Drosophila melanogaster: one gene and its partners. The protein of the gene in region 3 interacts with the protein of the main gene of each other region in a pairwise test. Each region holds a gene or a part of one and is shown on either strand. Other genes may lie near its edges.

Region 1 (3,837 bases), on a different chromosome or scaffold from region 3:
ATCATAAAGAGTTTGCTGTTCTTGTTCTGGCGGCTCCGATGGCTTGGCTTTTTGATCCATTAACTGCTTAAACTTGCGGGCTAGTATCTCTTCGGGACTGTACTCGACGCCTGCTCCTGGTGGATATACCAACTGCTTGGCATAGTGGCACACGCGCGAGGGATCATCAGGCTCTTCAAGCGTTAGAGCCGGCTTCCATGTCTCATGGTTGTTGCGCCCGTAGGCGTGGAAATTGCGCGGCAAGCGTAGGCCAGCCACTTCATTTGTCACCGGAGGACTTTGTTGAGGAGGTGGATTGCCGTTGCCGTTTTGTTGCTGCTGCGGCTGCTGTGCGTGCAACTGCGGTACTGTAGTTTGTTGCGGCGGCAACTGTGACTGTTGGGCTGGTGCATAATGGGACTAAAACAAAAAAGGAGTATTTATCAAGTAGCTTTGATATTAAATTTAATGCTCACCTCTGCCACAGGAGCATAATGCGATTGTTGCTGGACTTGGGATGGTGGTATTGCTGTTGGGGACTGAGTTGCAGGATGTGGTTCATAGCGCGGCCGCTCCTGGTAGTGTGTCTGATAGGGGACCTGTTGTTCTGGCGGCAGTTGCTGTTGTGGCGCCGGCTGATGAGGCTGTGGGGCTTGATGTGCCTGCGCCTGCGGATGATATTGCTGATAGACATTCTGCTGATATGGCTGGGGACGGTGTTGATTATAGCTCTGTGGCATCTGCTGCTGTGCATAGTTCGTGAGTTGCTGCAGTGCATCCTGCGGGGGATGTTGCTGGTGCTGCTGTTGTTGCTGTTGTTGCTGCTGTTGCCGCTGGTAAAAAAGAGACCTGGCATAGGCGAACTTGGTGTGGGCGTGCTGCAGCTCGGAAGTGCTCTGCGCCTTCTCCTGGAAGGCCAAGTTAAACACCGCCTCCGCATCCTTATACTCCTCGCGAGACTCGTAATAGGCAGCCCATCCAATGTAGAAGGCGGCCACCTGGCGACCAGTTCCTCGCTGAAAAAGCACCTGGTAGAAATGGAGTGGATCCGTTTGCATGGCTATGTACTTCAGCCACAGCCGCACCAAACGGACATCCTGGCGATAGTAGTCATTGTGCTCATACACCGTCAGGCAGCGCTCCAGAGTTTCGCGGTACTTTAGCTCCGGATCGCTTTGCGCGTGATTCTCGTACCAGCAGATGTAGTTGTACCAATGATCGAGTGGATCAGGACCCTGGTACAGGGATATGGCGTGCTCCCAAGCCTGCTTGTCGTTCAGGAAGCCGTGCATCTCGTCCGGGCTGGCCAGCGGCGGTGCTCCAGCTGCGACTGCTCCTGCTCCTCCTCCGGAACCCGATCCCTGGCGCATGTACGAGTGCATGGCCATCTCGGCCGGACGCGGAATCCTCTGATCCCGCTGCGCCGTAATGCAAACAAATGAATGCGAGACTGTGGTTTCTACGGGTCACCACCAAAAAGTCTCGGATTGCGGAATGTAGTGCCCCTTGCCGATTGGACTGGTTAGGGTCCACTAACTCAGTTAATCCCTCGGCGTCTTCGGCTGTCACTGGTGGCACATACACATGATTTTCAGTTGGATTTTTCAACAGTTTGCAATGCTCAAAGATATTTTGTATTTTTTCTTGCTTTTCAGCTTGCAAATGGAATTTATTAGTGCTGCCAAACAATCGATAGAACCATTGGCTGTCACTGTTGACGATGGCTATGCACAAGGTTATCGATAGTGCGATAGAAACGTGTTGTTGGGAATTTTTAAACAAAAGCAATTTTTTGTACAACTTTACTTTTTATTTATTTATTTGTTGCCAAAGTTCAATTTTATTAATAAAACTATAGGGTTCTTTGTTTTAAATTATTGTAGTTTGAATGACGCACAATATATGTGTGTGTGCTATGAAGCACTTCCTATTTGATATACTTTTTGTATAATTATAATCTATTATTGGAAAACAACATGTTAATCGGATGATTTCAATTTATGTCAAGTTTTCTACTTTAATAAGGGGTCTGGTTGGAGCTGAAGCTTTCCAAGTAAAGTTAGCGATTTATTATATGGCATTACGTTCTCCCTTGTTATCTATTTATTTTGTAATATAAATATTCAAATCCTAAACGATAGTTGTATAACGATAGGAACAATGGTCCACGATAGTGCCACCTCCGATGCAAGTTTGCTTAATGCCCTCCAGAGCGCGCCACCGTGCTCGCTATTACTGCATTATTGTTTTTTATCAACTCGCTAGAAATTACGCTATTCCCAAAAAAACCGCAAACCCGCGAGTGTTTATGTTGCGTTCCGAAGTGCATATCATAGATTAGTAGTATTAGTAACCCCTCAAACAGCCTGCTGTCCAAAAAACACGCGTGATTCCCCCGCCACCCACGCACATAGACCCCGATATTTCACTTTTCTTGTTTTCGACCCCTGACTGCGTTTGTGGATTTTCCCCCCAAGAAAAAAAAAGCGAAGTGAAAACGCAATTGAGCAGCCGATCGATTGGAACGGCAGCAAACTGAATTCCCCGGGTTACGGATAATGGAGGTATCCGCCGATCCGTACGAGCAGAAGCTCTACCAAATGTTCCGCAGCTGCGAGACGCAGTGTGGACTTCTGGACGAGAAGTCCCTGCTGAAGCTCTGCTCACTGCTGGAGCTCCGGGATCAGGGATCCGCACTGATCGCCAGCCTGGGCGGCAGCCATCAGCTGGGCGTGTCCTTTGGCCAGTTCAAGGAGGCGCTACTCAACTTCCTGGGCTCCGAGTTCGATGGTAATACGTCATCGGGTTTCATTGGTGAGATAGCACAAAGAATCGATCACGCTATAGATTAACTTATATAGTATAAAGATAATATTTGCTATAAGCTAACGCGACAGGTTCGCATAAAACAACATACGTTTTATCTGTAATTGCGCTTTAATTACCCATCAAGCAACATCAGATAATTACGGAATGTTTGCCAGCCACTTATTAGAGATAGTAATTCAATTTTGACACGGATTTGGAACCGTGTGGGTTTCCCTATTAATAAAACACTGATCTAATGAACACATTTCTAGCAGTCTATAGATGAACAAAGCCATTACTTAATACTCAAAGAAGTGCTACCATCTACGTGCTAATTTGCAAGGATTATGCACATTTACTTCAAACCTCCGCTTATCTGATTTGGAAACTTCTGGGCAAATTTAGGACACCTTAGGGTACGAATATCATAATCAGCACGCGGATTAGCACGGCGGCAGCTGGCGATCATAAAATCATAGATGCAATTGACACTTTTTTACGACTCCCAACTGTTCTCGACTACCTGATCCTGCATGATCCTTATCAGGTAGATGGTTACAATGTCCTGTATAAATACGCGACACATTCACCTGGGCAGTTTAGTCTAAATCAAAATGGGAACACGATTGTATTACCGCCGATCCGGCGGTCAGTTAACAGATCCGATAATTGAGAAGCTAGCCGCTCGTTTTGGTAGCCACCTAAGATCCATACAACTCTTCCAGTTCTCTGCTAACTTATATCTATTGAATCTTCCAGAGCGTTCACTGGTGATTACGGATGAGCCGCTAAACAACACATACATCGAGAGTCCGCCGGAGTCTTCCGATCGCGAGGTTTCACCCAAACTCGTCGTGGGCACCAAGAAATACGGTCGCCGGTCTAGGCCACAGCAGGGAATCTACGAGTTATCCGTCACGGACTCGGACAATACGGACGAGGACCAGTTGCAGCAGCAGCAAAATCAGCGAAGCCTCAACGGATGCGATGAGCTGGGAGTTCAGGTGAGTGTCGTTTGTCAAGTCACGTACGAAGTGGCGATACAACTTC
Region 2 (2,817 bases), on a different chromosome or scaffold from region 3:
GTTTATATGAATGTATTGGCGAGCGGACTAACGAATATTGCATATTATTTACTACATGGCGAGTCTAATATACCCGTTCACGAGTAACAGGTATACGAAATAAAATAATGCTCACAAATATATTACCAAGTACAAACACAGAGCCAAGTTGGCAAAGCGTTATGGAAAAGTTTCCTCTGGTCCTGGGCCACTTTTGCATTACATTATCTCAAGTTTTGCGCTGGCAATTTCTCATGTTTTCCCCCAACATATTCTCTCGCATGTCCGTATTTGTATTTACCCATTGTCGTGCTCATAAACATGCAGCTGACTTGTTACTGTCCCACCAACATCGACGTCATCATCGTCGTCGTGCTTAACGTCAGGCGCAACTTGTGTCGCAAGAAAAACTGAGGCTCTGATAAAAAACTTTGCCTCATTTTCATGTCAGGCCAAATGAGTTTTGGAAAGTTCATCCCTGCACCACTTTTTTTCGCTGAAAGTCATCGGGCAACTCGACTAATGGTGACAGTAATTTTTAATAAAACCTGCCAAGTGTCGACACAATTTGCAGTTTACACACGCGCGCAAGTTTGATGGAATAGTTGGAGGAAATTTGCATTCCTAGTGCCTGCACCGCTTCCCCTTGGTATCCTGCGAGTTCATAAAAATGCGATGTGAAATCTTATTTTGACGATCAGCACAGTCAACGATCCTTAGAAAATGGGTAAAGGTACCCTCGAAGAACCGCTTCAGCTTGATAAACTTATAGCGCACATCGACGTAAGATTCATCCAACTCCTGGGCACTTCTGGCTCCGTAGAGTTGGCTTAGCATGTCCAGCTCGGAGTCACAACTTCCTATAGACGACCCATCCAAGTCCGTGGACTCGCTATTGCTCAGTTGAAAATCCTCAGCGAATGGATCCATGGATATGATGTAGCGTCCGGGAGCATTGTACTTCTCGATCATGGCCCCTACGATATTCAGACACTCGTTCAGATCCTCCTCCATGGAGCTACAGATGTCAAGGGCATCGTCGATTTTTGTAAATTCCGCTTGTAGTAGCATGATTTATATTTAACTCAGTACAGCTCTGACAAAAGAATCAGAAAGCCCGATATCTTAAAATCATTTTTGTAGTAAGTTTTTATTAATTAAATTTATTCAACATAATTTTTAAAACATTATTTTAAAAAAAAAATAAAAAAAATTGGCTATTTGAATTGCTTTATTCAACAATATCGTCTTATACATCATAGATCAGAAATAGATGTAGAACACTATTTGTTTATCTTTACAATTCGTTCCATGTCTTCCACTTGGTCCATAAGATCGTTCATCATGTTAATTTTCAAACACTTTTTTGAACAATGAAGCATTTCATTTGTTTGCTTGATTTGATTCTCTGTCTGATCCTTGATCCGCATATCTAGTTCCTTGTGTTCAAGGGTACTTGTTTTAGCTTTATCTAGATTCTGAATTACTTCTTTATTGAATGTATCGAGATGTTTAACAGCGTCCATTTTGCTTTGCTTCTTTAAAGCTAAGTCCTTTAACTTTCCCTCAATGTCCTGTCTAAGCTCATATAGCTCCTTTTTTAAACCATCCATCTCATCAGGAGAGTATAGTGAAGTTTGAATTTTATTATTATCTTTCAATAAGTCATCTTGTCGTTCTTTTAGAATGCTCAAGGTCAAACTAGCTTTTATAAGATCTTTTTTAAGTTTTCTTGCCTGCTCCTGAAGTTTTTTATTATCATCGTCATCATGGTTATGGCCCAAATTTCTTAAGGACTTATCTATGCCCTCTTTTATAGAATTAAGTTGATTTGAGTTGGCTTTTAGATGATCATTGTAAGTTTGGTTCATTTTATTAATCATATTTTCTAGTTTTCCCATATGCACGATAAGGTCGTCGATTTTTTTACAGCATTTCGGGAATTTATTTAGTTCTTTACGCAAGATTCCTATTTCCTTTTCCAGCTCCGCAATACTGTTCTGTAGCTTTTCGTTAGATGAACAAGTTTTAATAATCAAAGACTTAGAATTTTTGGAGTCTGTGGGCGATCCCTCAAAACAATCTTTAGAATTTTGCTTAAGCAAATACCCCATTTTAGATTGGATATTGGTTAGCATTTCATTATTTTCCTGGCATGTGTTAAGGGTTACATTTAAATTTATTGAGGGTTTATGAATGTCCAAGACGCCTAACTTTTTGAAAAGCGTTTCGGCGAGTTTCTCTAAGGTTTCTGCATTTTTTTCCAAGTCAAGAAAAATAGTTGTATCCATTGGAACATTTTGATGTATGTAGCTTTGATTGCAGATACCAAGAATATTTTTAATATTTTCAAAGCGGTGACTTAAAGTTGTCTTTATGTCTTTTGTCTTTTCTACATTTTCCTGTATTTTATCTTTCAGTTCTTTTAGCTGATTTTCTATCTTTAGAGACTGGTTATATCCATTGCTTTTGATTATCGATAATTTATTTTCCAATGACTGAAACGATTCTTTTAGGCCATCACAACATTTCGAATTTGCTTGACTATCACGAAAATATTTTTGTAGCTTCTGAAAAAGTGGTCTTATTTCTTCAACTTGTTTTTCTATGTAGCCTAGATTCTTTTGAATAGAGTGACTTTCATTTAATTTTTCAGATTCTGTCTCATTTAATTTATTTGGCAGATTCTTGATTTTTAAATGTAGATCCTTTTTATAATGTTCTATTAATTTAGTGAAGTTTTCACAGCAGCTTTTGATGCCCTTAGAAACGAACTTTTTAATTTGGGGTAAAACATTTTCCACGTCCTTTTCCAGATCTCCGCTGATTTTCAGCTTT
Region 3 (3,328 bases):
AACCATTGCATTCCATTGCACCGTGAAGTGATAGATACTTACATTGGCGACGTTCTCCTGCTCCTCGTTGAGCATCTCGATCATGACGTACTCCTCGGTGGAGTCGAACGCCTGCTGTTGCTGGTCGTGCTGCTGGCTCTGGTTGGGGCTATGAGTCTGACTCTCGTGAAAGCTGGAGCAGCGCGCCTCGTCCAGGCCCAGGCGGAGCAGCTCGTCCGAATCGATGACCATGCGCTTGAAGTTGAACGCCTGTTCCAGCAGCTGCAGGCAGTGGAGGCAGATGTGCTGCGGCATGGCGGCGCCGTCTTGCGGCTCGAACGAGAGTCCCGTGCAGTAGTTTAGCATGCTGGCCAGCGTGGTGCTGCCCTCCGAACCCAGATCGATCTCCTCCTGCAGCGGCTTGTGCAGCTTGCAGGCACGCGTGCACGTCCGGCAGTTGAGCACCACTACCTCGGCGATCTTGCTATTCATCATGATGTCCTTATCCGCTTTCCCCTGTGGTTCTTGTCGGACAGCGCCGGATTTGCCGCTTTTATGACGTTTCGCTCTTCTACTTCTTGCAATTCAATTTTTATGCGTTTTTAGAGCAGATGCTTATGCGATATTATCGGTGCAGCAGTCATCGATGGATTTCGATTAATCGAATTCACTTTCAACACTTCTGTTATCCTAACGAAACTGTTAATTGAAACTTAACGGTCGCTGTTAACTTAGCAGTTTATTATTTTAAAGCTTATGACACCATTTTATTGTTTTAAGCTGATTATTTACAAAAAATATATACTCGGTTGTAAAACAGAGCTTTACCTATCAGCACTAGCTCACAGATCGAACGAGTTGTTCGGCGGGTGTATGAAGCTGGTGATTTGCTGCCGCTTTGCTGATTCCGTTGATCGGCGTCGACTGGAGGACTGTGTGGCTGTTCCACGGCCACGAGGACGTCCGCGCGCCGAGCGTTGGGCGGATGACGAGGATTGCGAAGTCAGCGAGCGGCTTCGGTAGGCCTGGGCCATCCTAAGGCGGGTAGAAATATAATGCATTAATGGGAACTATTTTCAATGGAATCCAAATGTCGCACCGATGCATTTCCGCCTTCCGATTGGCGACTTCCGCCTTAATGTAGCGCGACCTCTGCATCAGCTTCTTGCGCTCCACGCGCAGCATCTGCGCCTCCAGGAAGCGTTTCTGGCACACGGACTTGGCCACCTCGATGTCCTTGAACAGCTTATCCATCTCCAGTTCCTTCCTCTCCTTGTACTTGTCGAAGTGCCGATGATTGCCGCGCTGGAACGTCTCCACAAAGTCGTTGCCGATGGTGAAGGGCTCCGGATGGAAGAGCTGCTTGAAGTGGTTGGGCATCGAGTTGGTCAACTGGCGGCCGCGCACGCTCCGCCGACAGGTGGAGCATTCGAATATGGGCGCGTCGCTGGGCGTGCGGCCGGCGGAGACCTTGACGCACCGCTCGCAGAACACGTGATGGCAGGCGAGCAGGAAGAAGGTGTGCTTCTTATCGCAGAACAGGGCGCAGCAGCTGTTGCAGTGGATCCACAGCTTGGACGCCTCCGGCTCGACAGTCTGACCTGCTTGTGATTTCGCCATGGGCGCTCCGTTAAGCTTTTCGATCTTGTGCGCAACTAATTAATAACAGAATCAATAGATAGAGTTGGCAGCTCTGAATGAGACGAGCTAAGCTCCTGGACCTGCCAACTCCTGCTGCGCATAACGGTTAATGCAAGACCAAACATTTATTAAACGATAAAAAAAAAGAAGAATTTCACAATTAAAACACAGATTCGCAGGCAAAAGCTTAAAACCTACTGGCGACGCATGCGCTCGATGGGCTCCCTGGGCCGGATGCGGTAGCGCTTCGAGGAGCTGGACGGCGACAGCGGGCTACAGTACTGGCTGTCCAGCGTCTGAGTGCGCTTTCTCTTGAGGCACTGCTGGTCCTCCATGGAGGAGTCCCTTGCACTGGGGCGCACCAGGGATCCAGCGATGGAGGCGCAGCGACGGATGAGTGAGCCCGAACCAGCGTTCTCCTTATCCGAATCCCTGTCCCTGTCCCTGTCCTTTTCGCGTTCGCCGCGCAAGCTGGCCGGCAGTCGCATCATGGAACTCATCAGCGACCACAGGCGACCGGAGTTGGGCGCCTCCAGCTTTTTGTCGTTGCACGTGGAGGCGTTTGTGGGGCGGAACACCTCGTCCTCCTCTTCTGCGTCCACGACCTCCGGCTCGCCCACATCCTGCACGCCGCTATAGACCCTCTGCTGACGGCATTCCCGCAACGGAGGACGCACCCTGGGTTGCTGCAATGGCGGCGAGATCAGGGCCATCACCGCCAGCCCCTTCTCCTTCGGCTTATCCTTCTTGGGCGAAAACTCGCCGCTCAGCTGGCGCGGCACAATCGCCTGGCGATGACGACGCTCTGGAATTTCCGGCGTTCCCGGTTCCGGCGTGAAAAACTGGTCCTTGGTTTCATCGCCCTCGCCATTCGATCGCATCTGTTGGCTGCTCTTGGGCGGCGTCTCGAACTTGATCTGCTTCTTGTTGATGCCGGCACCGGTGACACGGATGGGCGTTATGGCCGGCACGTGGCACACTTCCGCTGATTCCGAGGTGGAGCGTATGATCTCGACGCTCTCGCATGAGTTGTACACCGTGGAAGAGGTCTTCTGTGAGCTGGAGTTCGTCCGCGTGATGATGATCGACTCGGTGGTGAGTTTCTGTGCGGACAGCAAGAACTGCCGCTTGCATAGATCGGCATTCCGCGAGGTGCTGTAGCTGGAGCTGCTGCCGCTGTTGACCTCCGAGGCGCTGGACTCGCTCTGGGTGCGCCGCATAGCTGGCGAGAGTCGCAGGTCCAGAGCGGACGAGCCTGCTGCCTCGTGCGAACTGTGCTCGCTGAGATCGAGGCGCACGCGACGTTGCACCACTGCGGATGGTGGCTGGTGGACCATCATGCCGCCGTGCTCGACGAAGGCCTTCTGAATGCTCTTGGACATGACCTGGCGCAGCGGCGTTGCGGCGCTCATCTTGTTGCGGGCGCCCATTTTCCAGGCGCGCTGCTGCAACGGCTGCTGCTGCTGCTGCTGCTGCTGGACGGGATTGCTTTCGGGTGTCGGACTGGGCTCCTCGTGGTAGATGCTGGACACGTGGCCGCCAGTGGAAGCATTGAAGGTAATCGGCTCCTTGGGCTTGGCGAACACGGACTCCACGTGCAGTGGTGTGGACGTCGAGCGTATGACCTTGCCCTTCTCCATCGTTTCGGACGGATTCACGCCCAGTTGGCCAATGGAGCGACGAATGGAGCTGTTGCTGAACGACGACA

Evidence for each region.
Region 1: the proteins of vilya (region 3) and Nin interact in a two-hybrid assay, tested with the Drosophila melanogaster proteins (one large-scale study listed by BioGRID).
Region 2: the proteins of vilya (region 3) and CG13474 interact in a two-hybrid assay, tested with the Drosophila melanogaster proteins (one large-scale study listed by BioGRID).

The regions. Positions count from the first base shown.
Region 1 is NT_033779.5:5,276,890-5,280,726, reverse strand, and holds the start of Nin (ninein), read left to right. Parts: upstream 1-2,178; 5' UTR 2,179-2,537; coding exon 2,538-2,793; intron 2,794-3,385; exon of another isoform or gene 3,386-3,401; coding exon of another isoform or gene 3,402-3,480; intron 3,481-3,546; coding exon 3,547-3,791; intron 3,792-3,837. Other genes in the region: Bub1 kinase, read right to left, coding at 1-399, 456-1,367. UniProt on the Drosophila melanogaster protein: Required for the positioning and anchorage of the microtubule minus-ends in various cells.
Region 2 is NT_037436.4:14,696,051-14,698,867, forward strand, and holds CG13474 (uncharacterized protein), read right to left. Parts: upstream 1,056-2,817; 5' UTR 1,051-1,055; coding exon 604-1,050; 3' UTR 501-603; downstream 1-500. Other genes in the region: CG17177 (uncharacterized protein), read right to left, coding at 1,263-2,817.
Region 3 is NC_004354.4:2,724,978-2,728,305, reverse strand, and holds vilya (vilya), read right to left. Parts: upstream 1,629-3,328; 5' UTR 1,600-1,628; coding exon 1,079-1,599; intron 1,015-1,078; coding exon 822-1,014; 3' UTR 738-821; downstream 1-737. Other genes in the region: dwg (deformed wings), read right to left, coding at 43-474; fs(1)Ya (female sterile (1) young arrest), read right to left, coding at 1,815-3,328. UniProt on the Drosophila melanogaster protein: Required for the formation of DNA double-strand breaks during meiosis together with narya and nenya.